Struthio camelus: one gene and its partners. The protein of the gene in region 1 purifies or fractionates together with the protein of each later gene. This does not show direct contact. Links are inferred from orthologs where the notes say so. Each region holds a gene or a part of one and is shown in the gene's direction. Other genes may lie near its edges. The genes, in order: UPF1, MOV10, EXOSC2 and RBM8A.

Region 1 (7,992 bases):
CTTTAGTTCCACCTTACTCAAAGCAACCCTTTCTCCCAGAACTCTTCTTAATATATCATTGGCTCAAACAAAGCAGAACGCCCAACTAGTGATGCCTTTGTTTTATCATGGCTGGAAGTAAAGCTTTACCGACGTTAGGGATTCATAGACTGCATGTGCTTAAATGTGCATGCTGCGTTACCTTCGATCTAGTGCATATTAGGATTGTGCTTTCTAATTCCACAAGAGTCCAATAAACCTTTCAACATCTACTTAGGGTTTTTTTATGGTCCTCTTATTTCATGAAGGCATTTATATGAGTTCTGTCATTATATTTGCATCGTCAGCCATTAGTTCATGAAAATCAAATACAAGTAAACAAAAATAGCTCCACAATCTTCTTGTCCAGTGCCTATTAAATGCTCCAATATTTGTTGGTCCAATAGCTAGAGATGGAACAAAAATACAGGCAGCCCAAACACTCCCTATCCCAACACTACTACAGACATTCCAGCAGGAAAAAGGTCAGAAAAGATTATGAAGTTCTGGGAAAAGATCCATTTTAGCTATTAATACTTATTATCACATTTTCTAAAGTCCAGGAAGCTTTCTAGAGATTATTTGGGATGAAGGAAGCTATCAAAATGTTATGATCCCAGAAGACCTTTCCAAACAAAAGGAAATATATGTTGCTATGAATCTTTTCCAACGCTATGTTAGCTTTCCTTCTATGTCCCTCTTGTGGTGACTGAGCAGAAGTGTAACATCTGCAATGGAATGGCTAGTTTACTGTCTTCCAAAATTTTTGCTTTGTTGCTGCATTTTTGGTGCTTTTTTCATTAAAAGATTTTCTCTTTCAAGATTCTTTGATATTGAAAACTTCTCAGTATATTCTGACAAGGAAATAGGTTTTTGCTTTTTTGTTTTTTTTTAAAGTATCCTCTGCTCTTCCATTTCCTAGCAGTCAGGCTAGGTAAAACTCCAAGGGATTTTCACTTGAAGATTTGTTTTAGGAGAGAGGCAAACAAAAGGAAGAACAGAGAGAGAAGAACTTTTAAACTAATGAGAGTTTCATGAATACGAAACCAAAAAGAAAAAATAAATAGATGCTAAAATGCAAATGTGAAGCGACAAAACTGGTAAGAAGGTAAAGTGATTAAATATGCATAATAAATTTACTGATTACATTTATAGTTCTATAATATGTTAATGTATTGCAAAATCACAGTACTTATTGTATAGAAATCACCATCAGCTGTGCAGTGTGTGAGTGTTCCTTATGAATTCTTTATCAAGAACATGGGATCTCCACCTGAGAGATATCAGATAAGGCAAACGTGTACTTTATACGTATTGTCCCCTAACCTGGGATGTTTTATTCCAGGATAAAAATACTTGATTTTTTTAAGCCAACCCTGCCATTTAAAGTAGCAGCTCTGCAAAGATTTTTCACACCCAGTTTGATTGGCTCTGAACCCTTCCCGTCATCATGACACCTCCTAACACTATCTCCAAGGCTTGGAGTTTGCAGAGACCAATCAGTTCATTCTTTTTCATAACAGGTTTTTTTTCACTCTTCTCTTGTGCAGTTAGCAAATCCTGATGCGAGTGTGTCTTGGAATTGAAATGAGTTTCAAGGAAAATCCTTTGGCACAGCTAACTATTCTGAGACAGGATTGAATTATTTCTATCAATGGCTAAACTGCAGTACACATCATTTCAACACTTACAATCAAGAAGAACCTTTACTTTCACCTCTTCAAGATAAACAACTTAAACTTTCTTGCTTATGGAAGCAAGCAAAAAGTATCCTCTTTAAATTCATCCAAATCTGTTCTCTCGGACAGCTTTTTATGACTAAGTATGCCCTGCAAATTCTAGCTTCTATCCATGTATAAAAATGGTAAAACATCATAATTTTCTCAGAGATTGTGTTCTCATTTTCCAGAGCGTTACCTTTTTAGATTTCATATTGGGCACGCAGTAGTAAAGACCAATGACTCAGAGTGGCCATCCCGCTACATGAGCCCATACTTAAAAGATAAAACTTTCACAAGAACATTAGATAAAACACAGCTCACAGAAACAAATGTTGTCCAGGAAGCTTTGTAGTGCAGCCTGCATACATTTTTTACCTCAAAATACACCAGAGTAGTCCACAGAGTTTCTCGCATGCAGTAAACTATGATCAAACAATTATGCCATGAGATACAGATGCAGCCTCTCCAGAAGTCATGCCTCTATATTGGTACAAACACAACCGGGAGCCTAACGGCCACGACTAATTACCAGTCTAATCTAGCTTGCCCTTGTTGAAACATATCAGAGTGAACTATAGGCTTTCCACACCTGACTCACTATGGTTTTACTTTTTACCTGTGTAACAGGGAAACTGAACCTCCTGGGGGGTAGGGGATCCACAGAACCTCTTTGCAGCCCTCCAATTTCAGCACCTTAGACAGCAGCGCGATTCTGTCGGAGGACACAGCTTACGTCGCTGGTGCTTCCGTATCACAAACTGAGTTCAGCTTCTGATGGCACTATGAGCGCAGGACCTGCAACTTTCTATATGTTTTCCAACTAAAGTCTGTTTGAAAACATTCTTATTTTCCGTATTATGCAGAGGACAGGGGGAAAAAATCCAGGCAGCCATTAGCAACACATCAAAACTTTGATCGGTGTCCAAAACTTTTGAGGATTCTGTAAACCAGCCAAAAGTTGAAGTATGTTTTGTTTATTCATAAACAAGTGTCTGTACTAAACGGCCTACCTGATTTTATAAATTTCTTCCTCAATTCTGCTTTCATCCTAAAGTAGGATTTATTATTTTCTCACAGTTGTACTTTTCCCTAAACTACAAAACAGTTAATTTCCAGTTTGCTTTATGGAAATACCAATTTGGTTCATCCTCTGAATGCTTTCCAATGAGATTATAGGTGGTACTTAATTCAGCTGTATTTCACCTTCAGGAATCAAAGAGCCTAAACATTCGGACTGTCCTGTAACACTGGTGAAATTATGTATGACTTATCTTGATATCACTGTGCAAAATAGCAGCTAATGCGGCAGTCATAATTCCAGAATCAATTTTTCATTCTGCCTTTTGGTTTTAGTCGTTTGTTTGATTAATCTACTTTAACCTGAATCTTGAATTAGGATACTTTTATAATAAGCTATTGGTGTAGTCTCCTTCTTCACAGAGGCTTAAAGCTAAAGAGGAATTCAAACAGTCAGTGTGTGAAAAATGATAACTAACTCTACTTGCTTTTTCCCCCAATTTGGTGCACAATATTCCCAGGACAAGGATATTCTTCTGTCTTCAGCTACATCTTTTCGGCTTAACAGCTGCAAATCTGGTCCCACATATTGTTTTGGTTCCAGGCTTTATCCTACACCAACAGCAAGAACAAAATTAAAGTTACTTACAAAAAGGCAGTACATATTTGCATCTTACAGTTGTCAAATGAAGTCTTTAGTAGGGAAAACGGATTGAATATCTAACTTTTCGCGTCAATGTTTTTCACAACACAGAAGTTATCTCAAAAAAAGATGCTTTGTTCTAATAAAAGGATGTTGAAATGAGGGCACTCAAATTTTCTCTTTATTTATGGGTAGCAACACGTGATACTCACCTCCTCTGCAGAGCCCAGTCATTCACCTTCCTCGACCTGGAGGAATTTCCATGGCCCACTCCATTACCCCCACCCTGTGGCAACTCAGCTTTCTGACTATTTTTACACTGTTAAATTATGACTATTACGAGTATAATAGGTATTACAGCTAGAGCAGATATTATTATAACAGTGGAGCCTTCTTAATCATCACGTCTGTCTCAAAACAGACCTCAAGCCCCCCCACACAACTCTCCTACCTGCTCTCTGCGTGACTCAACGCACTCATTTCAAACGGGGGACATGAGGTAAGGAGGCCGTAGAAAAGGTGCTAGCAGCTCCCGGCGAGGACGAGGGGGTGAAGGACCCCACGTTGCCTCCACAGGGGCAAACACCACCACGAGCCCCCCCCATGGCTTACCCTTACACGGGCCGTGCACCACCACAGTCCCCCTCCCCTCCCCCACCACCACAGAGGCCGCTGCCTCCACAGGGGCCGGCCACCTCCGCAGCCCCCCCGCAACCACAGGGGCCGGCCACCACCATAGCTCCCCCCCTCCCGCTCCCGTCGCCTCCACAAGGGCCGATAACCACCTCCCCCCCCCCCGAAACCCCTTGCCGTCACAGGCGCCAACCGCCACCACAGGGGCCAACGGCCGCCACAGGGGCCAAAGGCTCCCACAGCGCCCCCCCTCCCATACAGCCCGCCCTTCCTCCTCAGCTCGAGGGCCCATTGGCTGTCAGGGCCGTCAGTCAAGGAGTAAGCCCCGCCCCCTACGCGCCGCCGCGGGCGGGGGGAAGGAGTTGAGCGGGGGGAAAAGGGGCAGCGCCCCCCGCCCGCCAGGTGGCTGGCGGCGCCTCCCCCGCGCGGCGCGGCGCGAGCCCCTTCGCGCCTTCCGCCGGAGCCCCGCCCCCTCGCCTGCCCTCCCCAGGTGTGTGCGTGCTACGTCACCCCTCCCACGCGTACGGGGCGTGCTGGCGTCGTCGTCCCTCCGTGCGCTGCGCGTCACCGCTCCTGGCCTGGCGCGCGGCGGCGGCGGCGGCAGCAGCGGCGGCGGCGGCGGCCGGACGGTTCCGCTCCCAGCGCCTCGGGGCTCGGTTCTGTGGCGGGGCCCGCCCGCTTCCCCCTCCCCCCCGCCTCCTTCGGCCGCGTCCCCCCCCCCGCCCGCCTTCCTTTCCCCCCCCCCCCCTCCGCCGTTGGCTCGGCCGCCCCGGCGGCGGGTTCGTTGGTGGCCGGCCGGCTGGCGCGCGCGCGCGCGGCCTGGTGCGCGCGGCGGATCCTGCCGCTCGCGTAGCGCGGCGCCCGGGCTCGCTGAGGTGAGGCCCGGCCGGGCTCGGCCTCGGGCACGGGCTCGCGTTTTTTTTTTTGGGGGGGGGGGAGAAGCGCCGCTTCTCGACGCCGCCGCCGCCGCCATGAGCGTGGAGGCGTACGGCCCCAGCTCGCAAACCCTCACCTTCCTGGACACCGAGGAGGCCGAGCTGCTCGGCGCCGACACGCAGGGCTCCGAGTTCGAGTTCACCGACTTCACCCTCCCCAGCCAGACCCAAACCCCGCCCGGGCCCGGGCAGGCGGGGCCGGGGCAGGGCCAAGGACCCCCCGGAGCGGGGCAGGGGCCGCCGGGACCCATCGAGGCACAGGTGAGACCGCGTTGGTGGCCGGGGGGGGGGGGGTCAGGGCGTCTCCGCCACCGGGGAAGCGGAGGAGGGAGGTGGGGGGGGTCCGGAAGGGGCGGGCGGGCCCGGCCGTGGGGCCGGCGAGGGGAAGCCCTGAGCGGGCTGGGCGCTCCGGACGGGAAAGTGGAAGCGGCGTGATGCTGACCCGCGCAGAGGAGGCTCCCGGCCGCGGAGCGGGCGGCCCGGCGCTGGCTGCCCTCCCCGAGCCGGCAGCCGGGGGGGTGGGGGGGGACACACGGGCCTGAAACCCGTGGGCTTTTCTTCCTTCCCTGGGAACGGAGGGAGAGGGCGCCGAGGCTAAAAACTTGCGGTCTCTCTTCCGCTGGTAAAGCCAGCGGCCCTCTCTGTTGGATCGGGACAGGCGCGTCGCTTTTCGGTGCGATGCCGAAGTAAGACATCGGAGATGCTTCAGGATGTGGTCGCGGCTTGTTTCCGTCTTTAAAACAAATATAATTACAGGTAGTACTTGCTTTTCCAAAAGTTGGATACTGCACCTGTGGAAATTCACTGTTACTCCCTTTAATTTATTCCTTTCTCTGACTGAGACCAATAGATGCGTGTTTTTTTTTTAATTATTATTTTTATCCTTACTCTTTGCCACCTTTCCTCCTGCACAGTTGCTAAGCTCGTTTGTTTTGGGTTGGTATGGGATATGGGAGCAACAAGCAATATGGCCTTATGCTCCAATTCAGAGGTCTGTTTCCTGATAGCTTAAAAATGAGTATTTTTTTATATAGTCTGATGTTGGTTGGTAGATGAGTTTGTTATTTGACAGTAGTGGCCTTACAGAAGTGAAAGCAAAAAGGGAACTGCGGTTATATACTCGCATGCCAAGAAGTGTTCTAAATGAGAATGCTGTCTGTCTCTGTGCCACACCTTGGCGGTGTACGTAACAAAAAAACCTGAGAAACTGTTCCATATTTTTAAAAAAAGTGAAACTAGGCTCTCCATGTGAAGATCGTGGAATGTACTGATAAGTTTTATTGCATCTAGGTAAACACTTATGTAGTTCTATTGTTAATGATGAAATGATTATAAATTATCCATGTTTTAAAGCATGACTTTAAAGATGAGTTGAAATACTGTAGATAAAAGTTCTTAATCCTGAACCAAAACACAGTTTGGATGGTTTTTGATTTTTTCCTCTTACTTGCAAATACTGACTGATGTATGGGGTTCCATAAATGATATAGCTGTGGATATACAAGTGAGCAAACTTAAAACAGGTCAAGCTGTCCAGGTATTGAAGATCTACAGGTGTGCGGTGCAAGGCTAAAAGTGGTATTATCCTGCCATAGCAGATGTATCCCAGGATGAATTGATTGATTGTCTTGTGTTTTCAGATGCTTAGCGTACACCCTGGGTGTAGCTGCTATGGTGTGACTTGCTCCAGGTTCGCATGCTTATGTCTGTACCCAAAGGTGGAATTAGAGATGTGACCCCGTGGGCTGTTTGTTGTTTTATTTTATAATAATTAACAACTCAGATTTAGATTTGGCAAGGTAAACATTTTTCCTATTTGAGAATTCAGGCATCACAATTATTAAATATTGATAAAATCTGTGTGTCTGTATGCAGTCAGCATATATATTAATTGGTTGAAAAGGTAGCTTTAATAAAGTCGTCTTAATTTTCAAAGCTTTAATCGGTTGTGATCTTTCCAGAACTCATGGTAGAGAACTACAAGCCAGAAGAACAAAAAAAAAAAAAACCCAAATAAACTTATGCTAAAAGACCAGACTAGAGGATTTTTTTTGTCTAAACATGTTTGAAAAGCCTTTGAAGTAAAATGGGAAAAAAAAAAAAAAAAGCATAGAGAGCACATTCAGGTATTAAGAAGTCGATAGCCATCCTGCCAAGGGGAAAGAATGGTGCATTTTTTTCTTCCTTTCCTTTTTTCTTTTTGTCAAACTGAATACTCTTAAGGTGCTTTTTGCAGAATCTTTCTGATGCTCATCTTGATGCCAGAAGTTATATGCTGGGGAGAGGGGAACGGACCTATTGTGACAGTAACTGCCAAAAAACAAATCCCTCTATCTGTTTAGGCTTGTACATTTCAACAGTCTCATCTGTTATAAGATCAGAAGTTATATATTTTTAAAGATTGTGGAGAATATTTTGTTACTTTGAATATGTAAACTTGTCGTGTCTTTTGACAGGGAAGATGCTAAAAATGCAACTTCAAAGGCCTGAAAATTGATCGCATTCATTTTTTCTCAGTTAATTTTTGTTACTGTAATATAACTAAAGCTAATTAAATGTATAATCATTATTCAAAGCTGATAAACACTGGAGACGTGTCATTTTATCCTGCTGTTCCATGTTCTGATATCTTCTTAGTGTCCTGGTGTTTAAAAAGATTAGTCGAGAAAGACAGAGCACCTAATTTCTTAAGAAAATGTGATTGATTTAGCCACTCTAAAGGGGCTTCCTTCCCCTACATATATTTAACTAATAGTTTAAGAGGATGTTGTTGCAATAGATTAGTATGCAACTGACAAAAGGTAGTGAGAAGATAACAGTGCAGAAGCAATTCTGCTGTTTCTCTTTGGAAAACGTTATTTTTGTTGTTTACATATGGCATGTTTAGGCAAATCAACTCATATGTTCAATTTTAATACTTCTAAGATAAATTCTGATTTCTTCCTTACCTCCTGGCCCTTCTAGGCAAGGACTTAGTTACGATGGTAGGAAGGAGTCACATACTCCTGAGTCTGTGATGGACAAG
Region 2 (7,216 bases), on another chromosome or scaffold:
GTCTGGATGGAGATTAAAAATGCAAATGTCTACAGAAAAATAGGTATGTTGTGCTTTAATGCTTTGTGGCAGGTTCCTAGAATTTGTATCACAGGTGTATGAATGAATAGTGTACAAAATGATAAATAAACTTGCACCAAAGCAAGAGAAAAAACCTTTCCATTTTGTCTCTATTGTGGCCAGTTTCTTCTTACACTTAATGGGGATGCTGGGCTTAATCTCTTCACTGCTCTCTAAAAGCTTGCTCTGTTGCTTTGTTTGTCTGTAAAAGCAAGAGAAACTGCTTCAGACTGCTACTTTTAACAGGAGGTTGGAGGGGCACGTGGATACTTTCTCAGTCAGAACTCAAAACGTGAATTCACTGTAAGATGAAGCCCCTGTGGTTAATTCACTTTGCTTTGTTTACATTTGTTTCTCACTTGGCCTTTTTGCAGGTTGCTTTTTAAATTGGGTGGTGTCTTCCTATTTTTACATACACAAGGAAGGGGGATTGGAAAGATAGGGGTGGGGCTGCTTGTGCATTACACTTTAGGTTTTGCACAGTAATACCACAATATAAGCGTGTCAGTGTTCTGAGAAATTTTGTCCGAATGTTTGTATTTGCTGTTAAGACTGACCGTTCATCCTACAGGCATCCTCTGTATCAAATAGTCTAGTAGAAATACACCAGTCTTTGTTTTAAAGCCATTTGTGTCTGTCCTTTTTGGTCTCACTTCTGTAGATTCCTGATCACGGTAGAACTGCAGGTGATATCATAAGCAGCCTGAAAGTTGGAATGGTACTGCTTGCAAAGTTACACTTAAGTTAAAAGTAAAAATAGTCACGTGGCTCCAATCATGACACGCTTGACCCTGGGAAAACACAGCAGACAAGGTTACTTCACTAATCATGTATATCTCATTATAGCACCTACATAGCTTCATAGCGTTTAACAACTTGAGTAAAAAAGTAACTGCTGGATACATCCTATGTCAGGGGCATTGGACAAAGCAAGACTTGTCCTGTTCTGGTCAGTTTTGCACACTGCTGTGCTAAGAGCGCTACTCAGGCTAGTGCTTCTGCCACTGGATGTTTGTAAAAAGTATTTCCTCCCTGCTATTCCTAGAAGAAATGAAACACTATGAACATGAGCACCTAAGCAGCTGTAGTCTATGTGGCTACAGTCCCATCCAGACAAGCATTGCAGCAATTCCAGGAATGTGAGACTGAAGCAGGGCCCAAGATAAAAGCTCTGTTGTGCGCACACAGTGTTATCTTCCAGCACTGCCTAAGCCACAAGGCTAGTCTTTCCTTGCTCCAAGTTAGTTGCACTGCACATAGTTCCCACCACTTGTTCCAACCTTAAGACAGTCTCTCTCTCTTCTCCTTTCTCTGAATCTTTAGCTAATCATTCTTTAGGGCCAACTCATTCCCTGTTACCTCCTCACCTTTCTCCTGTATTGTCCTTTGCTACAGCAAAGGCTCCGGTGATCTAGCTGATCCTAGCTCCGGTGATCTAGCTGATCCTAGCTCCGGTGATCTAGCTGATCCTAGCTCCGGTGATCTAGCTGATCCTAGCTCCGGTGATCTAGCTGATCCTAGCTCCTCCCCAGCTCCTATTTCTTCCTTGGAGAAACAAAACTTGACACAGCCCAGTTACTGCCACATTACACAAAGACATTACACAAGTGCAAGCGGTGACACATACCTAAGGCATTTTAATCTTTAGAATCTTCAGCTATTCTCTGCTTGAAATCAGAAGTTTTACATAGGAGTAAAGCCAGCTAGAGAACAATATATGTTCTGGGCTGGTCTTGCCAAGGTGTACCAAAGCCAATGCCTTTTTTAAACAGGCAGCATGAACCCAGTTCTGTTACAGTGCAAAGGCATGGTAATTTGACTGACTCAAGGAAGCTGAGTGAAACATAGCTTTCCCATCCCAGTCCTGGGGAAAGGATCCCTGCTGGCCCCAAGGACATCCACTGGGCTACCCAGTTGACTGCAATGATAAGAGCTCCTCTATCTGCTTGCAAGAGCAAAGCTTAAAGTTCCAAGACTCCACCTGTAATGTGTGACATATACAGAGGAGAAAGTGATTTTGTAAACTCCAGAGGCTGCAAAACACAGAGTTTTTAAATAAGTACACAGAACACTAGAACAGGACTCAGATGCCCATGTTATTTTCCTACCTATGCCCCATTTTCTACAGCCCCTAGATAGGATAGTGATCCTGACTTCTTTTGTAAAGCACTCCGAGAGCTGATGAAGGAGCAAAAGGGCCTTGGAGTTTATTGCTGCTTTTCTAGCTTGCACATACAAGGCTGAAAATCAGGTTTAACTACAAACACCATCTTTCAGAAAAAAAAGCAACTCATGCAGAGGAAGTCACATGCAGGTTATTTGAGTCTCAGCACTCAAACTCATAGCACACCCTTGCCCAGGGTACAGGCAGTGGTTTCAGAAGCAGCTTAGAGCCCTCACACCACCTGCAAGGGGGTCACACACCACCACAGCCTGCTGAGCCTCTTCCAGACAGCAGCAGGACAGCAGTAGTGCTTCAGTCAGAGGAAAAGCCCACTGGAACTAAAGCAGTAAAAATAACAAACTTACCTCAACATCCTTCAGCTACAGGCAAGCCAAAAATCAACCCATTAAGTAGCACTGCAGGCAATCCCAGGGCCTTCAGCCACTTCACAGAAGCAGGTCAGAGACCACCATCCACACTGAGCAGGCTGGAGATTTAAAGCACAGGAAATCAGGGCAGAGCCAAACATAGAAAGCAGCTTTTGCCACTGCTGCCCTATTTATAGGGCAGCAGCGTGGTGCTCTGGGAGCTCTTATCCCTCATTATTGGCTACAGCAATGCAATGCACCTGGGCACCATGTCTCCAGCCAGTAAGAAGCCTCAGCAGCTGCTTTGAGCTTGCAGTGCCTAGTTGCCCTCCCTAGGGACAATTAGTGCCACGGCTCTAGGCCCAAGCTGACCAAATAACCTAGACTTTGACACTTGGCAGCTCTGCTTTCCCAGGTCCCTGCAAACACTTCTCAGCTTGGGCCTGCGTCTATTACTTTTTGAGTAGCCCCAAGAGCAGGGAGGATGTGAACCCCTGCAGGTAGCCCAGCTCCCTGGGGCATGCCAGCCTGCCCCAGCCCCCTCTGCGTGCTGCCGGGGCAGTTCACGTCAGAGGTGAATCTCCCAGCTGGATTCCTCTGTTCACGCTCCGGAACAGGGGACCCGTGGCTGGCCTGGGAGCAGGGAGCCCCCAGAGCGATGGGACCGGGCTGCCAGGCATGGGGAACCCCCGGAGCAGGGGGGTCTGGGCGTGGGGAGCCCCCGGAGCGGGGGGGACCGGGCTGCTGGGCGTGGGGAACCCCTGGAGCGGGGGGGTCTGGGCGTGGGGAACCCCTGGAGCGGGGGGGACCGGGCTGCTGGGCGTGGGGAACCCCCGGAGCAGGGGGGACCGGGCATGGGGAGCCCCTGGAGCGGGGGGGGACCGGGCTGCTGGGCGTGGGGAACCCCTGGAGCGGGGGGGACCGGGCTGCTGGGCGTGGGGAACCCCTGGAGCGGGGGGGGACTGGGCTGCTGGGCGTGGGGAGCCCCCGGAGTGGGGGGGACCGGGCGTGGGGAGCCCCCAGAGCGGGGGGGGACCGGGCTGCTGGGCGTGGGGAACCCCTGGAGCGGGGGGGGACCGGGCTGCCGGGCGTGGGGAACCCCTGGAGCGGGGGGCACCGGGCTGCTGGGCGTGGGGAACCCCTGGAGCGGGGGGGGACTGGGCTGCTGGGAGTGGGGAGCCCCCGGAGCGGGGCGGACCGGGCGTGGGGAGCCCCCAGAGCGGGGGGGGACCGGGCTGCCGGGCGCGGGGAGCCCCCGGAGCGGGGGGGACCGGGCGTGGGGAGCCCCCAGAGCGGGGGGGGACCGGGCTGCTGGGCGTGGGGAGCCCCCGGAGCGGGGGGGGACCGGGCGTGGGGAGCCCCCAGAGCGGGGGGGGGGCCGGGCTGCCGGGCGCGGGGAGCCCCCGGAGCGGGGGGGGCCGGGCTGCCGGGCGCGGGGAGCCCCCGGAGCGGGGGGCGATGCCCGGGGCGGGGCGCGGGCTGCAGGGCTCGGCGGAGCCCCCGGAGCCGGGGCGCGGGGCCGGCTCAGCCCAGCCCCGCCGGGGCGGGCGGCTCGCCGGGCGCACGGCCCCTTTCGCTTTCGTTTCTCCCCGCCGAGCCGCCCGGCTCAGCCCAGCGCAGCGCAGCCCGACCCGGCCCGGCCCGGCCCAGCGGAGTCCAGCCCGGCCCGGCCCGGCTCAGCCCAGCCCGGCCCGGCCATGCCGCGGTGCAGCGTGGCGGAGGCGAGGCGCTGCGGGGAGCAGTTCGTGCGGTTCCTGCGGGACACGGGCCGGGAGCAGGAGAGCCAGCGCGACACGCTGCGGAGCATCTACACCCAGGAGTTTCGGGCCAGGTGAGAGCCCCGGGCCGGTCCCCCCGGGGCGGCCCCAGCAGCATCGCCCCGTCCCCGACCAGCGCTGCCCAGTCCCCAGCCAGCCTCACCTGCCTCTCCCCAGCAGCGATGCCCCTTTTCCAGCCGGCATCTTCTGTTCCCCCCCTCAGCAGAGTCGCCCAGTCCCCTGCCAGCATCCTCTGCCTCCCCCCAGCAGCATCGCTGAGTTCCCAGCCAGCATCACCCAGCTCCCCCGGCCAGCATTGCCCCGTCCGCAGCCAGCATCGCCGGGGCCAGGATCTCAGGCGTGGGGCTGGCTCTCTGGGCCTGAGGATACCCCCAGGGGAGCAAGCTGGGCTTGCGGAGACTCTCCTTGGTCACTGTCTGGGTGGGATGGAGCAGCATGTGCTCCCTGAGCAGCAAGGAACCAACTGGACTTGTTAAACTCAAAACCCAGTAGCTTTACACTCTCTGGGCATGGGAAAACAGCGTGATGCCAGTGGGGCTACCTGTCTCCTGCTGGGCTGCAGATGCAGGGAGCATCAGAGCAGTCCCCTCCGAACACGGGCCCTGCGTGCCATCCAAGCCCCCGTGCCTTGCTGCGGCTCCGTTGGGACCGTCCTCGGCCACAGGAATCCCGGGCAGGGCTCCCCAGCCAGCGCCCCGGCAGCCGCGGGGGCACAGCCGCCGGCACCCGCTGCCTAGGCTCCCCCCGCCGGCACCGGCCACGCTGGCCCAGAGCAGGGCCCTGTGCAATGTCACTGCTGTTAATCATTGGCCAAGTCTGGGTGCAAACAGCCAGAAGGTCATAGGGATGTGCTCTGCGGCCCGGAGGAAATGTCATGGGGAGGCAGCTCTCCTGCCAGGGTCAGGAAGTGGCAAGTCAGTGCCTTAGAGACACTGTCGATCTGCGGCGGGCGCCTCGGAGCGTGGGCTTGGCCAGGAGCAGCCAAAGCAGTTTCTCTGCCGGATGCCCCCTGCGCAGGCTCAGCCCTGGGCCCGGACCCCGCTGAGTCGTCCCTGCCCCTCCAGGACATCCTTGTACCTCCAGGGTCTGGGGACAGTGCCACGTCCCTGCCCCGCTGCCACCTGTACACAGGCAAGTGCAGAGGCTGCACGCCCCAGTGGGGCCAGGCAGGGACTCTGCGGGATAGCTGGGACAGCCACGGCACAGCTGGAAGGGCCGTGACACAGCTGGAACAGGCACAGCACAGCTGGACGGCGGCAGCACAGCTGGAACGGCATCCGAGCAGCCTGCCCGGGGCCTCAGCTTCACCTATGGCATCCAGAAACGCCTACGCTGCCAGGCCGGGGCCCTGCAGCACCCACCCCAGCTGTTCGCAGTTGTACCGTGGAGTTGCCTGGGGCTTTGTGCCCTTCCAGCCCGACCCCTGCTTGCCCGTGGCAAGCCCTGTTTGCAAAGGGACCCACAAGCCTCTAGGTAGCATGAGGTTTGCTAGACAGGCAATCCCACAAAACTCAAGCCAAACGTGGTGGAAAAGCTTGTGAGCCATAGCAGCCTGAGGGGGTGCAAGTTTTGAGCGGGACCAGTGCAAAAGCCCCCGTCCTTTTCCCTCCCGCAGAGTGGAGGGGACTGGTTGGAGCACCCTCGCGCAGCCTGTGCCGCCCCGACTTCGCCCCTCGCTGCTCTTCCCCTGCGCCGAAACGCTCTCTCCCTCTTACCGTGCAGGACTGACACAAAGATGCCCAGTTTCTCCAGCATCTTGTACGCCCTGAAGGTGAACCACCGTGCCCAGGTGCACAGGACATCTGTGCACTTCAAGGAGGTAAGGGAGGCCGTGGGCCCGGCAGCGCGGCGGTTCCCGCGGGAGCGCGGACACGTGCCGAGGGCCCTGCTCCCGCGGCCGCGCTGATGCGGCTGCTCCTTGCAGGAGAAGAGGAGAGTGGTGGTGGCGGACCAGTACCGGAGACCCCGAGCGGACGCAGAGCCGTCAGCATCGGCTGCCGGCCAGCAGCCCGGCTCTGGCCCACGTGCCCCCAAGGGCCGTGCCAAGGAGCGGTACGAACCTGGCGCCCCGCGGGTCCCGGGGCCGCCCGCGCCTCCCCGAGCGGTGGCCAGGAGGGAGCTGCGCCGGGCTGGACCCGGCGGGCTCCGGCGCCCGCTCCGCGCCGCGGAGAGGCTGATCCCCCCCACCCGCAGGGCCGAGTTCATCCTTGGGAAGCACGGGATAGAGATCGTCTCGGAGCACGACCAGGGGGACGGGCACATCCGCTTCCACGTGCCTCTCGGCGAGCCCTGGACGGCCGCCGTCCGGGTGCAGAACGGCGGGGAGGAGCCCGTGACGCTGCTGCGGTGCCGGCCCCTCCGGCCGCAGCAGGAGTTCTCCTTCTCGGACGAGCACGGCGCGACGCAAGGCCAGCCCCTGGTGCTGCACCCGGGTAAGGGGCGGTAGCCCTCGTCCGCCCGCTCGACGCGCTCCTGCGCGGCGGCGGCCGCGGCCCGGGAGGAGGCGCAGGGTGCAGGCCCCTCCGCTCCCACCTCTTTGCGTTGCAGGCAGCACGTACCCCATCCAGGTGCGGTGCCTGACCGCGTTCAACGGCTGCTTCCTCGTCACCCTGGTGTTCGAGTTCACCAAGGAGCCGGATGAGCCCTTCAGCATCGGGCGCTTCCTCTCCGCCACCGCCGAGACCCAGCTGGCCAAGGAGCTGGGGCCCTCGGCACCCTACGAGCCCTACCAGGCCAGCCTCCGGCGGCCGGTCACGGTCGTCACCGAGGACGGGACCCCCCCCGAGAGGTACAGCCCGGCTGGGGCAGAGCCCGCAGCTGCTTGGGCCACAGTTTTGCAGCACCCC
Region 3 (7,769 bases), on another chromosome or scaffold:
GCAGCGTCGCCCGCCTCGCCCCGCGTCTCCCGCAGCCGCCGAGCTCTCCTCCGCCCGCCCTGGGCTCACCCAGCCCTTTGCTGATGCAGCCGCGCTTCCACCCGAATGCAGGCACAACCTAGCTAAAACGATCCCTAGCAGGGTCGGGTGGGAGATGCTGCCCACGTCCTACAGCAAGCGGGTGCCAACTGCTCCTTTCGGGGCTGAAACGCTCCGCCGAGGCACCGAGTCGGGTTTCTGGGTCGTGGCTCCCTGCGTCGGTCTCTGTTGCTGCCGTCTCTCACTTGTCCCTCGCGGGGCTGCGTATTCCTCCGTGTCTCTGTGCGCACTGCCACGTCCTCGTCTCTCCAAGCAGCAGGGACCTCTCGGTCCTTTGCTCCGGTGACCCCGGCTCTGCCTGCGCGGTCTGTAGCTGCCCCTCCACCAGCCGCAGCGTTTGCCACCCAGGACGGGGGTGACCGAGGGGCAGGTTTGTGCCGGTGGTTTGCCTGTGTCATTGCCTTCAGGGCTCAGGGGGTGCTCGGGCACCTCTGGCAGGTCCCAGACACCAACAGACCTTGCGGGAGGCGAGGTGCGGTGAGCGTGGGTGCAAAGGGACGGGGCAAGGGTGCGTGGGGAGCCGTTCGCCGTCCCGCTGACGCTCCCATCTCTGTATCCCTCTCTCTAGATGATTCCTCCGGACCAAGAGCTGCTGGTCTGGTACGGAAACTCCCACAACACCTTCCTGGGCATCCCAGGCGTGCCGGGGCTGGAAGAGGAGCAGAAGAAGAACAAGCACGGTAGGTAACATCAGAAATGGCCACGGGTGCAGCTTCTGTGCCCATCCTCTGCCCCCGGCTCCCTTCGTCCCCGGGAGCAGGGGTGGGCATGGGGCAGGGACATCCCAGGGGACGCACGAGACCCTCCGGCTCCGTAGGGACGAACGCAGGGACCATCCAGCAGCAGAGCCCAGCCCCTGCGAAGGATCCATAAAGATTGGGCAGGTGCCTAGTAATTTGAGGGGCTCCGTGTGAACCGATTAGCCCAGGGCAACTAGTGGTCCGGTGGCCAGCAGCCCGCTGCCCCAGCCCGTGGGGAGCATATCTGTGCGGCAGGGACGGTTTCGGGGAGAGGAGCAGGGCAGGCGTGCAAACAGGAAGGAAGGAGCCCCAAGGCACCGGGAAACGCCAGGCGGACAAAGTCACCGATTTCCCTGCTCGGCACTCAACGCCGCAACCCCTTTTTCCCCCGAATCGCCCCGGCAGGAGGCCTTTCTCTCCCCGGGACCCTCTGGCTGGGGCGGCTCCCCGACGTGCCCCTGGGCGGGCGGGCGCAGAGCTCCCAGGGCGCTGCGGGGGACGCTGCTTTCGGAGCCGGGCCCCCTCCGCCCGCGGCCCTCCTCCCCGCTCGGCGCGAGCCCTGGCCAGAGCCCGGCAGAGCAGGGCAGAGAGCCGGGGGCGAAGCGGGCGCCAGCTCTCCCGGGGCGGGAGAAGAAAGAGTCTTTGGGAGCTGAGCAGCCCCGACTGCGGCTCCCGCGCTCGTCTGCCCCGGCTCTGCACGGAGAGGGAGGCGAACGGCGCCGCGGGCGCCCCTTCCGTGCGAGACAGGGGTCAGGCTGAGCAATCCCCTTCCCCAAATTTAAGGAGATCGTTCCCAGCTCTGGCCACATCCCAAAGCGGTAAATATCAGCCTGGAGTCGCGGGCGGGGGTCTCCGTTCATGGGGCCGCTGTGGCCGTCCCCAGCGGGCAGGTGGAGCGAGGGAGGAGGCGCGGGGTGGTTATTTCGGGCTCGGGAAGGGAGTGAACAGCCGGGGCGGAGGGCAGCACCTGACGGTCCCCGTCCGGCGCTCTGTCGTCCCCAGAGGACTTCCACGCGGTGGAGGCGGGCGCCAGCACGACGGGGCGCATGCGCTGCGTGATCTGCCACCGCGGCTTCAACTCCCGCAGCAACCTGCGCTCCCACATGCGCATCCACACCCTGGACAAGCCCTTCGTGTGCCGCTTCTGCAACCGCCGCTTCAGCCAGTCCTCCACCCTCCGCAACCACGTCCGCTTGCACACCGGCGAGCGCCCCTACAAGTGCCAGGTTTGCCAAAGTGCCTACTCCCAGCTCGCCGGGCTCCGGGCCCACCAGAAAAGCGCCCGCCACCGGCCCCCCAACGCCTCGCTGCAGGCCCACTCGCCAGCCCTGCCCGTGCCCCATCCCGCCTCCCTGGCCCACCACATCCCCACCATGGTGCTGTGAGCCGCCGGCGCAGCGGCGGGTTTGCGGACAGCCGGTGGCAAGGGGCCAAGCCCGGCGCTGAGACGCGCGGTGCGATGGGGGGTGTCGACCCTTGGCGGAGCTGGGGGGCAGAGGCAGGGCTGCTTTGGGTGCCGAACGGGCGCATTGGTTTATTTTTGGAGCAGCGCCGTCCGCGCAGGGTTTGGGGGGGCCGTTCGGTGAGCGAGAGATCCCCCCACCCGGCTCTGCAGGGTGCAGCCGCACCGGGCTTGGTGCTCCCCAGGGAGCAGGGCAGCGGGATGTCCCTTGTCCCTGGGAGCGGGCGAAGGGATCGTGCCTCCGAGGGGCAGAAAACAGCAGGATGTCTCCTGTGGATTGGCCAGTGCACTGGGGGAGGGCTGGGGCGGCCCAAAAGCTGAGCTGGGGTGAGTCACACCTGGGTTTCACAGTTGACTTGACAGAAAGAAAAATTGCTCTTATCCCTTCTCCTCCCTTGCTCCAGCGAGTGCCCAGCAGCGCCGCGTCCCCCCCTTTAGCGGCTGGCACAGCTCCATACAGGCCATTGCGTTGGTGCCCGTCTACCCCCGGGGGGGCAGCTGTGCCCCGGGGGGCTCTTCCCAAGGGAGAGATGGCCAAGCCCCAGCGCGGCCTCCGCGGGAGCCCTCCTTTAGCAGTCGGTCGCCTTGTCCCCGCCAGCCGCGCTCGGCCTCCTCGCCTGCCGCCCGCGCGCCGGGCGTCCCCGACGCCTCTGGACGGCGGCGTTGGAGGCAGAGGCCGTGGGGACATCCCCGGCTGGACGTGCCAGCTGGGAATGCCCCATCCGCGGGCAGGTCTTGGGGGGTCTCTCTGCGCTCTGCCAGGCTGTGCCTGCTCCAGCCCGGGGACCATCGCTCCCTGCAGCCTTTCGGGAACATTTAAATTTACTTCTACCGCCCTCTGGGGACAGAGAAAGCCCGTCCCTGGGCCAGCTCTGTCCCCAAGGACAACTCTAAGCGCCCTCTGGAGTCCTGCCACAAGCGAGAGCAGGGCTTTGTATCATAAAGTTTAAAAGAAGGTATTCTAATATTAATTATAAGTCTAAGATGTATAAAGTTCTCACAAACTGTGTTTTACTTCCAGAAAAGAAAACAATTGTCACTTTAACTTTGTAAATATTTATGTAAAACATTATTTACAAAACTTTGATATTATATATTATTTGATCGTATATGTACACAGTGTAAATACGTTTGTACCTCTCTCTTGTATTCTAAATAAAAATAACTTGGAACATTTATCATTTAGAAGACGGATGGTTTGGGGAGCTTTGTTTTGCTCTGTGGTCAGGGCGCGTGACGGTTTGGACGCGTACAAGGCGAATAAGGGGGCGTAGTTTCATCTACTAGAGCAAGCAGTGCTGCTGGGGAAGAGGAAAGAGAGCTTTGGGATGCAGAAACCCTTTTGCAGGTCTGCAAGAGAAGCGGCAACTTCAGCCTAAATCCAGACGGATGGCACTATTTGGTCCAGTATCTTCTCGTTTTATTTGAAGCAACAACTGTTGATGTCTTCCCTGAAATAATGGCCATGTTTCCTCTGTGCCGGGCTACAGATATAAGTCTTGCTCGAAAGAATAACGTTTGATCTTGGCCCAGAGGAAGAGACGCAGTCCTAAAGGTCATCACGGGCTTCTTTTCCCTTGGTATTTTCCCAGCAGCTCCGAGGGTCTAACCAATGAAGTGAATAAAACTTCCACGCAAGCAGGTGATTGACCGTTGCCGCAGCTTTGCCAAACTCCTCACCCCTCCAGGCCAGCCCGGGGGGGCTGGAGGAGCCCTTGTCGCCTGGTGGAAGATCACCGGGCCCGAGGGCGACTTCGGCAATGAGAGGCGCCGACTGTTTGGTTTTCTTTTTTAAAAATCTATGAGATGTGATTTTTTTTTTTTGGAGTAATGTTATGCAACCCTCCCCTGTCGCACGTACAACCCGGCAGCGAGATGGGGGCAACTCAGCCCCTCAGCAGGGCCCTTCGGCTCGGGGGGCCGGGGCCGCCGGCGGGAGGAGAGGTCTGCGGCCACCCCAGCTGGGGGCTGGCGGCCCCACGCTCAGCCCTTGACCCCACAGCTCTCCCCGAGGACAGCTCCTGCTGCGGGGTGGGGGCGCCCGGCTGCGGGGCAGCCTTCCCCGCTCAGCCCCACAGCCTGCCCCTTAAGGTGGAGGAGGCGGGCAGCCACCTTTCCCGCACCAAACATGGCCCCCCTTCTCTCCCTTTGGATCCCAACGCGGTGAAGCCCACGCCGTCTTTTTCTGCCAGCAACCAAAATGGCCGCCCAACACGAAGCCGCTACTGCCGCCGACGGCCGCCCGCGGCCCTCAGCCAAGATGGCGGCGCCCTGGCCTCACGCGCGCTCTTGCCAGCAACCAGCATGGCGGGCGGAAGGCGCGTGTGGGAAGCGGGCGCCGGCGCGGCGCGGCGTTGCCCGCAGCCAACATGGCGGCGATAGCGATGCGGCTGCCGGTGGCCCGCAAGGCGGTGAGGCAGAGCGCGGCGCGGGGCGGCGAGAAGCACCTGGTGGCGCCGGGGGACATCATCACCACGGACACGGGCTACATGAGGTGGGGGCAGCCGGCCGGGCCGGGCGGGGGCTGTCGGCCCCGCTCGCTGAGGGCAGCGGCGCTCCGGGGGCTCTGGCGGCTGACTCCCCCCCGGCTGAGGGCCGCTCTCTCCGCAGGGGCCACGGCACCTACGTGGGCGAGGAGAAGCTCATCGCCTCGGTGGCCGGAGCCGTGGAGAGGGTGAACAAGCTGGTGTACGTCAAAGCGCTGAAGACCAGGTGCGAGCGGCCGGCGGGCCTCGTCGCGCGCGTGGCCCCCAAGGCGCCGCCAAGACAGGATTGCCCTAACGCGCGCTCTCTTGCTCCCAGGTACAACGGTGAAGTTGGCGACATCGTGGTGGGGAGGATCACTGAGGTAAAGCTCACAGAGGGTCCCGGCTGCTCTTCCCCGTTAGTGACTCCGGTTTTTCCTGACGCGCTGTTAAGTGGGAATTAAGTCTTGGCTCATATTTGAAGGGCAAGAGTGCTGCTGATGAGGAGGACGGTCCACCAGACTGAGGTATCTCTGTCTGTTCCAGAGCGTTTCTGAGGCTCCTAAAAGCACATTAGTATTTGTGCTTTTCAGCACTTGCCATCGTGCATTAGGACAACTAAGTGCTTTGCAGGGTTGGAGTTGGCGCGTCTGAGCTCTTCCCGTCTGCGGGATGCTGGAAAAGACTAAGAACTGAGGAGAAAATACATGGTTTTAATTACGGACCATTAACCAATTAAATGTTAATATTATTAACATTTGGGATTTTAAAAAAGATGAGGCTAAAAGTAGGCTACAGTGCTGTCTCAGCTCTCGCCTCTCTCTGTGTCAGTGCTTGTACAGTGTGAGCTCGCTGATACGAGCACCCATCGTGGGATGGGCCGTTCAGTTCAATCACCGTGCGTGGCTTGTTGGTCTGCAGCTTGCCTCGTGCTGGGCTGCTGGCTTGAGTGGCAGCAGGACCTCCCTCTCTGGTGAAGAGCTTTTGTTCATTTTGTGAGCATATATCAACAGAGTTTTTTCTTTTGCAGGTTCAGCAGAAACGATGGAAAGTGGAAACCAACTCCAGGCTAGATTCAGTCTTGTTGCTGTCATCTATGAATTTACCTGGTGGGGAACTGGTGAGTGCAATTGATGTAGAGCAGTGCCAGAGCCTCTCTTGTTCTGCTTTTACAGCAGAAGCTGAGGGCTGTGCACCGAGAAGCTGGGAGGCTCTGGAGCCCTTCCCACGGTTAGCACAGGGGTAGTATTGGTGTTTCTGCCTGTAGGTGCATCGGTAGTGCTCTGGTATCTTTATTTAACTCTTAGTGTTATTTGGACAGTGACCTAAATACCAGAACCTCGTTTTTCTTTGCTGCCAAGATTGTGTTTTGCGTGCCATCCTAAGGAGGTGGTCCCCTCGGTGTGGGAATCACTTGACGTTTTTCCATCCTGGGCCACGTGTAATTTTTCTCCCATTCTGCTTTTCAGAGAAGGAGATCTGCAGAAGATGAGCTTGCAATGAGGGACTATTTGCAGGAAGGAGACCTCATCAGCGTATCCTTCCACTGCTTGCATTCAGGCAGAAGACCCAAGGGGCATGGGTGAGAATGGCTAGACCTTAGCTAGCCAGACTGATAATGAGAGTTCTCTGCCTTTGGGCAGTGAGCAGCCAACTCCTGTTGGCACTGAGTAGCATTAGGGAGCTTGTTTCCTTAAGTGGCATTGACAGGCAGAAGTCCAGTCTGTATTTTCTGATGGGGCTGTGTCACTGCACACCCGAAGTCTGAAATACGGGAAGGTAAGTTGCTCAAAAGCACTTAGTTTTGGCTTAATTCTGCTCCAGTTGACTTGTAAGGGAGTGTCTACGCTGCTGCTGAGTATGGTTTAGACTTCCAAACCTGCAATGGATTGGAGCTTGAAGCAGATCAGAGCTCTTTCTGGGATGTCATCTCCCTGCTGCAAGAAATGGGATGTGAGAAGGGCAGGGAGGAGAGAGAAGGTCCCTTTGGAGAGTGCTCTGATGAAGGATAATACGTAGCCCGTCAGACAGTTCCTCCTAGGTTGGTGGTCCTGCGGCTGAAGGCCAGGCCCTTCCTAAATACAGCACAACTCCACCCAAGTCAGTAGAATTTCTTTGGCTTTATATCAGAGTAGCAGCAGGATTAGGCCTTTTGTGAGAGGTTGCTCTGTGTGTGTGTGTTTGTGTGTGTGTGTGTGTGTGTGTGTTTTGTTTTGTTTTTTTTAAGAGAAAAAGCTCTGGGGTAAAGCAGGGTGTTGTTAGAACCCATCCCTACAAGTTAGGAAGGATCGTAGCCCCCACATGGGAAAACAGATTGGAGTTCCCCAGTGCAAAGGGAATACCCTTGAGCTGCCCTTTGAACCACAGCCCTCCTTGTCCACAACTACAGGCTGCGAGTCCTGTTTCCCCCACTAACCCTTTGGGAATTGAACCCTGAGGAGAAAAAACTTCTGGCTCAAACTTGCTAACTCCTCTTCTGCAGGCCATTGCCTTTATAACTTGTTTCTCTCCCCAGGGCTCTATTTTAGGCTTTATGCAGTTGGCATTTATCTCTGGTTTTGCGCATTGTAATAAGCCAAGGGGCCGTTGGAGCGTAGGCTGCAGTTTGGGATTACCGGACCAAAGGTATTAGCGCTTAAAAGATGAAAGCGAAATGTGCTTATTGCACAAAGGGTGAAGGACAGCTATTGGATTAAAAGGGAAAGCGTTCTGCTAAATTGGGCCTCTCACTCTTCATTTTTCTGCAGGGATGGTTGATGTGTAGTTACGATCAAGATATTATTAACATTTGTGCTAAGAACTCAGAGTATTCTTCATCTTCAAAGGGCTGCACAGACATTAGCTAATTCTCCCAGCACTCCCAGATGCAGGCAGGTTTTATAGTCGCTGTTTCACAGGAAGGGGTGTTAAAGCTGGCTGGTTCATAGACCAAGAATGGAGCGCGTGTCAGTCACCAGATGTATCTGTGGTGGGTCGTCTCTCACACTGAGTCTGATGGTCTGC
Region 4 (7,487 bases), on another chromosome or scaffold:
GCAGACCTGCTTTTTTATTCTGCTTCTGTAGCAGGAGGGGTTCTATCAAAACTCCTTCTTGATAAGCACAGTAATAATAAGCATTCTTTTTAACTCTACAGTGCAAGCTGCATTGGGGAATACTCCAAAGCACGTAAAAGGGGTTTAAAGCTGGGATTTTGGTTTAGTCAGACTTAAGTCTGGGGATCAGTGTACAAAATTCCAGTTCAGTCTCAGGCAGGATTCACGGTTACCCCTACAACTGTCAGGTGTCTGGATCTGTTCCTGCTCTGGTCTTTCACTCGTAGGGTAAGACATAGTTCATTCCCAAAGTAAACAATACACCTAATGGCAAGCTATAAAACCCTGTGATACTTAAGGGATTGGTCTAGCAGTTAATTAGTCTGCACCAGACAAATTCTCCTGCTATGCTCTTTTTCAGTCCTCTTTGGGTTCTTACAGTGTTTCACCCAGTCTAGGAGGATGGAGATGCTAAAGGGCTGTCCCAAGCGCTAGCAGTTGGTGGTGGTATGAAATGGCCGGTTTACCCAGCTAGAAATCAAGCCTTGGAGTTGTTTGGCTTCCCCAGCTAACCCAGGGAGATGAGGGTTTTTGAAAGTCGTGCAAGAAATAAGAGATGGACACGCTGTTCTCTCCAGGGTAACTTCCAAACCGAATGTCAGACTTGGCCTTTTCGAGGAAGATTTTAAGAGCCTTGCCAGAGTTTCAGACTTAGCGAGCAATAACAGGGGGGAGCTGTGCAGCCTCTCTCCCTGAAGAGCCTTGTATATACAAGTCTTTGTTAACCAGAACTGTATTTAATCCTTTGAACCAGAACACAGGCTCTACCCAGCCCCAGCAGCAAAAGCGCAAATGGGGGGGCTTGGCCTCAACTTTGCATTGCTTCTACCAGCCAGAGTAAAGGGGTCTTACCCTTGTGCCAAGAGGGACTGTGCTTAATTTACAGCACGCAGCGCTCTCCGCAGCCTAGCTCCCAAGAAATAGTTGGCAGGGGCAATTCTTAGGATTACTGGTGGATCAGAGAGCTGCTGCTTAGCAGAGGGCTGAGGAGCTCTGCAGGTGTCTTCAGTAGATCACACAGAGCACACCTTAATGTTACCCACTGCGAACTTGGTGTGGGAGGAAGGGAATCACTAGATTGTATAAAATGAAGGTGTGGGCTATAGGTTTGGCACCTCTGGCCTGTAGCGTTTATATAGCGTAGCCTCACACAGCAGAATGGGAGAGAAAGCGAGTGTAAGAGCTGTGCTTCTCTTGGAGCTGGAGGCTCCCTGCTTTGGAGCTTGCTCCGTTCTTTTCAGTAGTGGTGTTGGAACAAAACACTGCTGAGTTGAGAACTTCTATATGCACTATTTTTTTAAATGAATAGTTCCCTGCTCTTTGTATACATATCAGTACTAAATCTGTATGATGTTTAGATTAAAAATACTCTTCCTGACACTTGTGTTCCTGTAGCTCAAATTCACAGTCCGAGAAAGTAGTGATTTGTTCAAGGTAATTCTTGTATCGCTTCCTACTTTTCTAATATATAGCCCAGAAGAGTCAGCAATGTCTCAGTGGGACTATAAATTGAAGACAGACTTCTTTCTTCAACACAGTATTCAGCTTTGACCTTTCTCTGGTCCTTCCCCCCTTATACTCCCCCCGCCCCATGACTATACTTTGGGTAGAGGTGCAAAGCCTTTGGGAATCTGACGGGTAGCTTTTGCTATTGCCATAGATGACCACCCCTCAACCCTCTCCTTTCTCTGAAGCAGCCTCTTACTGTGAACGTAGAGGCACGTGGATATTCAAGCAATAGTCTTGTTTTGAAATGAAGATCAAGAAAAGTGCGTTATCTGTAGGCATTCTAGTTTTGTATTCTTGTCCTAACAAGCCTATTTTGTTTTTATATATTTTTTATATGCAGCCTTTTTACACAACAGTATTAATGTTTAATGCGTTTATAAATGTGATTGTAAATGGTGTGGAGTTTTTTTGTTTGGGTTTTTTTTGTTTGTTTGTTTGTTTTACAGGTTGGTAATATCTGGACCTTGTATTTGGATTTAATCACCCGCTCTAGAAATAGTGTGGAGTCTAACATCTTCCTATTAGCACTTCCACACCTGTGTATAGTGTTACAGTACGTCATGTGAAATGGTGATTTATCTAACAGCCTGCTCTTGCAAATATGGAAACTCTTAAGAAACTTCACTTTTTGAGCAGATGGTGTAAGCAGCATCGGCACCCAACCATACATCTCCAGGCTTTCAAGTTGCTTGGACCTGCATCAGTGTTTTCCTCTGCATTACAGACCGGGGTTTGCCATCTTATCCTAGTTACTTCTCGCCTCTCTAGCAGCATGAGATGGAAAACGTGACCCAATAGAAAAGCCCCCTGGCATGAAGAAGTTGTGAGACATCCAGTTCTTGGCTAATTTGGAATCCTTATGGCCCACTTGGATTTTGCAAGTTGAAGAAGGTCATTTAGAGCTGTAAAGATCAGTGGGCCAGAGCTGGTGCAGTCTTGCCGTAAGAATCCTGGTGCTCGTTGAGGAAACATCGTACAGCCCCTTCTCCCTGACTACAGCTGGGTGCAGCAGGGAGTTTGGATCTAGGATTGCTTTCAGGCACCCTGTTTGAATTAATACTGCCTTCTCCTTTGCAGTACAAGGCCCTGTCAGTTAGAAATTCCTTTACTTAAACGTACGTAGCAGCACCTTAACAATCAAACTCCCCCTGGAGACTTCCTTGGGGAGGAGGAGTTCTTGCCGAGCAGCGTCTGTGCCCTACGTGTTAGGACTCTTGGTGTAGCAGAAGTTGCACGAGCTGCTGTTTGCAGTGCTTACGAGTGTTTTGCATGTAGGGATCTTAATGGTTTTAGCAAAGCTTGTCTCCGTAACTCTCCTCTGTCCTGCAGCGCTGAACTGTACACAAGCTGTTTCAGATGCCTTACTACTGCCAGCAGCCGTTCTTAAACGAATCTAGGAGGATTATGTTGTTTCCACTGTCAAGGCCCAAGTCTGCAAAATGGGACGTCCTGGCAGAAGGGAAGGTACAATGAAAACCTGATACACCAGTACTTTTGTTTTGGCAAAACCGAGGCTGGTTTTTAGTCCCCTGATCTACTTGCAGGGTGATAACGCCCCTGCCCTAGGGACGAGGAAAGCTTTCTGGGCTTTCTTACTTCAGCTACTTGTCCCATCTTTCCTGCGGAAGCCATCGAGCTTGTTTTAAGTAGTTGTGGCTGCAGAGCCTGCCTCGTACTGAACGAAACCAGCTAAGCCTCTGTCATCTGAACGTACCCATACACGAAGCCTGCATAGTTGGTGGGTGTCACTGCCTTCCCCCTTCTTTTGGGGGTTAGAACAACACTAAGCCTAGGCAGGCGTCTGGGCAGTTTTATATTAAATAGCAGCAAGTGTATAAAACTGTTTTCTTTTGTTCCAATTACAACTTTATACTCTCGAAACGTTGTTTTCCCAAATCCCGAGGGAGGGGGCAGGGGGACTGGCCTTCAATCTAACCCGAGGCAGCAGCAGCAGGATTAACATCCTGGCTTTTTCAGTGTCCAAAATCTTGTTGTCTTCCTTCTTCATGCTATAGGGTTAAATCCAAAGCTAAAATGATAAATCACCTTTCACGTGCCGTCCCTGCCTTTTTCCATGTATGTCATAACTTTCAGTACATCATTGCATTTTGTATGTATAATTTTATACAATAAAGCTATAGATTTTTGGGGTAGCTGTGGTGGTTTCTCTCCCGTTTTGAAAGGCAGAAACGGCAAATCCTGCCACTGACTTGTCATTTGCATCTTTCCTAGGCGGCAGTTCGTACACCGGGACAAACAAGCGTTTGCAGTTTCCACCCCAGAAGCGCACGGGCGACGTGCTGTTTCTCGCTAAAGCGGTGTTTGTCCTCGTTTAATTCCAGCTTTTTCTTCTGCTTGTGAAAGTGGTTTATGGTCTGTTACTCTGGGGCGGAAGCCAGGCAGGCCTGGCCTTAGCAGCTGGCGACAGAAGCGGCCTCCGCTGTTGGAAGCTGATTTTGCTCTGCACAAGAGGTGCTTCCCCGGCCAGCCTTGCCTTAGCTTTCCCCGCTGGAGGGAGCTGGTGGCTTGGGACAATTTAAGGCTCTTAAGGCTCTTTTTTTTTTTTTTTTAAACCTCATCCTTTCCACCCATGGGGTCCCCTCCATGTCCCACCAGCTCTGCCCTTCTGCTGCCTTTCCAGGGTTGTAGGAACTGCACAGCAAAGGGCACGTTTGCCCCCAGAGCAGGAGCTCTTCTTTGTCCTCTTTTTCTTTCTTTTCTGCAGTTTGGGCGCTAGTCGGTCTCGGGAGGGCTGAGCTCGGGCCGCAGCCCTTCCCCGGTACCTGCGGGGATAGCCTCTCCTCCTCGCAAAGGTCGGCCAAGCTTCGTCTGCCGGAGCCAGGTCCCCCGGGGGCTCGAAAGCCGCCGGCAGGAGGACGGCCAGAGGCGCGGATGTGCGCGCTGCGTGCTGGTGGAAGCCCCGTTTCCCCTGGGAAACCAGGCCAAAAAAATAACTTTGCTTCACGTTGTACTGAGCAGCGAGGCGGTGGGGAGAAGCAGGCGGCCCCCCGCCTCCCTGAAATGTTACCTGCCCCTGCAAAGAACCGTGAACGGTTTAAGCAGGTGGGTGCGGGGTCAGCGTCGGAGCTCGCCCCCGCCACCCCCGGGCCTTGCCCCGGGGCAAGCGGCCTCCAGCGTGGGCCTGCTGGGGGGGGGGCACGACAACCCCCCCCCCTCCCTTCCCGACATGGCGTCCACGGCCGGGCAAGAAACGCCGACCTCACCAAGATGGCGCCGCGGGCGCTTCCGCCGCGCGTCCTCCCTAACATGGCGGCGCCCGGCAGGGCTGGGTAGTGCTTCCGCCCCGCTTCCCGGCGTGCAGCGCGGCAGTGGCGGCGGGGAGAGCGGCAAGATGGCGGACGTGCTGGACCTACATGAGGCGGGCGGCGAGGACTTCGCCATGGACGAGGATGGCGACGGTGAGGGCAGGGCGGTCCCTACCTGCCTGGTGCCACCGGCCGGTCCGGCCGGCTCCCGGGCCGCTGTTTCCTTCCCTCGGGCCTGCTCAGGGGGCCCTGTAACGGCGGGGCCCTGTCCCCTGTCCGGTCCTGGTTCAGGGCCAGGTTCCCCCGTGGGCTCCCCCCGCCCCGCGGCCAGTCCTAGGCCCCCTCCCTGCGGGCCCTGCTCTCAGTCGGGTCCCCCCGCACCGGCCCCGGTTCGGGTCCCGTTCCCCCATGTCGGTGCCCAGCCCGGACTCGGGGACCAGCCTGTCGCAGGGCCCCAGATCGGGTCCTGTCCCGCCTCACCGATGCCCAGCCCGGACCTGGGGACCAGCGCAGCCCGGGGCCCCGTTTGGGTCCCGTCCCCTGTCTCAGTGCCCAGCCCGGAGCTCAGAACCAGCCTGGCCCCGGGTCCCCCCTCCCCGCCCCGGTTCCGACCCGATCGCGGGTGCCTTTCCTCACTCCCGCCCCTCTCCTTCACAGAAAGCATCCACAAGCTGAAGGAGAAGGCCAAGAAGAGGAAAGGCCGAGGCTTCGGCTCAGGTGAGCGGCGGCGGTACGGCTCTACCCTCCTTCCCGCCCTCCGGCGGGCAGCGCCTGCCCGCGGGACCCTGGCGTTGGCCGCTGCTTTCCAGCGTTCTCGGCCCCTTCCCCTCTCAGGCCTCGGTTTCCCGATTTCAGCTAAACGCTCACCCTGGAATCGCTCGGCCGAGGTCCCTGGCAGGCAGATCCCTCCTGCTGGGTGCACTGGATCAGTGGTTTGTGTGTCGTGACGTTTCAGAGCCCGTTTAGGGCGGTTTGGAGAGTGGGATCAGAGCAGGAGCTTTGTACAGGAATGTAGCGTCTGCTGGGAGCAGGATCGCTTTGCCAAAGCACAACCCAAATCTGGCTGGCCTTGCTGTTCCCTCCCGCAGAAGGGAGAGGACTTCTCAGGGCTGCGTGCGCAGGCCGGTGGCCTTGTCCTGCCCGTACAGAGGAGCTGGCTTCAAACCTGGCTGTTTCAGCGTTCTCGGGGAGTCCTTAAAGGTTGTCTGTGTCCTACTGCACTCCTGAGCGATGGCAGCGGTCACCCACCTCTCTTTCCTCCCCTTCTGTTGCGTGTCCAGAGGAAGGCTCGAGGGCCAGGGTGCGCGAGGATTACGACAGCGTGGAACAAGATGGGGATGAGCCAGGCCCACAGCGCTGTGAGTACCTGCAGGAGGCACCCGTCCCAGCCCTGACTCCGGGCGCTTTAGAGGAGGGAGACGATGTGTTGTTTTCGGGGAGATGGTGGGGAAACGTGGGGCCGTTACTTGGCTGCGTATCAGGATTCAGACCTTGCTGGGGCTGAGCCTTTCCCTGCCTCTCCGGCCTCTGTCTTGGGCTAAGCCAAGAGGTTGCTCTCTGGGACGCCAGCTCCCTTTTCCACCCGTGTGTGGCTCATTCTGTGTTGTGCTTAGCCACAACGCGCCCAGGGATTTCCAGCCACTCCAGGGGCTGGCTCTCGTGGGAGGCCCCTTCCTGAGGTGTCTCACGTTCGCACCGCAGAGGTGGGAGAGCACCCTGCGTTCGGTGTAACGATTGCCGCTTTTCCCGGTGCGCTGCAGCGGTCGAGGGCTGGATTCTGTTTGTCACGGGGGTTCACGAGGAGGCCACTGAAGAGGACATTCACGACAAGTTTGCGGAGTACGGCGAGATAAAAAACATCCACCTGAACCTCGACAGACGGACGGGCTACCTGAAGGTAGGAGGGGATGCGCAGGTTGGGCTGGCCTTGAACCATCTCAGCCGCTTCAGCGGCCGCACATAGGGACGCGAACACAATTTCCTTTTCCCCAGCGCTACTGTCGGGTGCCGCAATGCTGCCTGAACAGCAAGACAAGCTCAGGGAGGGGTTTCTCAAACGTCCAGCCTCTCGCTGGGCTCCCTGCTTCCCCTCTGCCCGGGATCTCACTTACTTTTGCTCCCTCCCACCCTTAGGGATATACTCTTGTTGAGTACGAAACCTATAAAGAGGCTCAGGCAGCCATGGAGGGGCTGAACGGCCAGGAGCTAATGGGGCAGCCCATCAGCGTGGATTGGTGTTTTGTAAGAGGACCCCCAAAAGGAAAGAGAAGGTAAGAGGGTCTGTGCTTTTTGACCGTGTTAAGCCAGAATGAGGTTTTCTCTGGATAGCCGCATGGGAGGAAGGGTTCAGCTGCAGCTCCTTTGCCCTGCTGAGGCAGACAAGGGAGAGCAGGGATGAGGCTGAGCTGCTGGTGGAAATGTCACAATGTTCACGAGCCCTGGCCGGGGCTGGAGACCTGTGGATCCGGGGAAGGTGGGAGGTGAATGCCCCAGAGCGTTTGGTAGCACAAACGTTAGTTCTGGCGGAGCTGGCTGACTTTGCTGTGAAAAACGCTGCAAACTTGGGCTGAGCCACCGTCGCGCACGGTCGTCAGCGTGACCTTGGCGTGCCAGGGACCAGCTCGTCTGCGTGGTAGAGAAGTGCTGTGAAAC

What was found.
Region 2: the proteins of UPF1 (region 1) and MOV10 purify together in Homo sapiens (affinity purification with mass spectrometry; 3 studies listed by BioGRID and IntAct, with this or other methods). This does not show direct contact. The link is inferred for Struthio camelus from reciprocal best matches to the Homo sapiens genes UPF1 and MOV10.
Region 3: the proteins of UPF1 (region 1) and EXOSC2 purify together in Homo sapiens (affinity purification with western blotting; 3 studies listed by BioGRID and IntAct, with this or other methods). This does not show direct contact. The link is inferred for Struthio camelus from reciprocal best matches to the Homo sapiens genes UPF1 and EXOSC2.
Region 4: the proteins of UPF1 (region 1) and RBM8A purify together in Homo sapiens (co-immunoprecipitation; 7 studies listed by BioGRID and IntAct, with this or other methods). This does not show direct contact. The link is inferred for Struthio camelus from reciprocal best matches to the Homo sapiens genes UPF1 and RBM8A.

The regions. Positions count from the first base shown.
Region 1 is NC_090967.1:6,071,056-6,079,047, forward strand, and holds the start of UPF1 (regulator of nonsense transcripts 1), read left to right. Parts: upstream 1-4,861; 5' UTR 4,862-5,003; coding exon 5,004-5,228; intron 5,229-7,992. UniProt on the Homo sapiens protein: RNA-dependent helicase required for nonsense-mediated decay (NMD) of aberrant mRNAs containing premature stop codons and modulates the expression level of normal mRNAs.
Region 2 is NC_090965.1:9,496,686-9,503,901, forward strand, and holds the start of MOV10 (helicase MOV-10), read left to right. Parts: upstream 1-4,191; 5' UTR 4,192-4,289; coding exon 4,290-4,423; intron 4,424-4,911; exon of another isoform or gene 4,912-5,144; intron 5,145-6,092; coding exon 6,093-6,189; intron 6,190-6,294; coding exon 6,295-6,422; intron 6,423-6,563; coding exon 6,564-6,802; intron 6,803-6,917; coding exon 6,918-7,158; intron 7,159-7,216.
Region 3 is NC_090961.1:6,313,639-6,321,407, reverse strand, and holds the start of EXOSC2 (exosome complex component RRP4), read left to right. Parts: upstream 1-4,608; 5' UTR 4,609-4,670; coding exon 4,671-4,795; intron 4,796-4,911; coding exon 4,912-5,013; intron 5,014-5,103; coding exon 5,104-5,149; intron 5,150-5,796; coding exon 5,797-5,886; intron 5,887-6,235; coding exon 6,236-6,301; intron 6,302-6,476; coding exon 6,477-6,545; intron 6,546-7,769. Other genes in the region: PRDM12 (PR domain zinc finger protein 12), read left to right, coding at 668-779, 1,842-2,224. UniProt on the Homo sapiens protein: Non-catalytic component of the RNA exosome complex which has 3'->5' exoribonuclease activity and participates in a multitude of cellular RNA processing and degradation events.
Region 4 is NC_090971.1:3,081,839-3,089,325, reverse strand, and holds the start of RBM8A (RNA-binding protein 8A), read left to right. Parts: upstream 1-4,376; 5' UTR 4,377-4,756; coding exon 4,757-4,988; intron 4,989-5,492; coding exon 5,493-5,552; intron 5,553-6,115; coding exon 6,116-6,193; intron 6,194-6,595; coding exon 6,596-6,732; intron 6,733-6,968; coding exon 6,969-7,105; intron 7,106-7,487.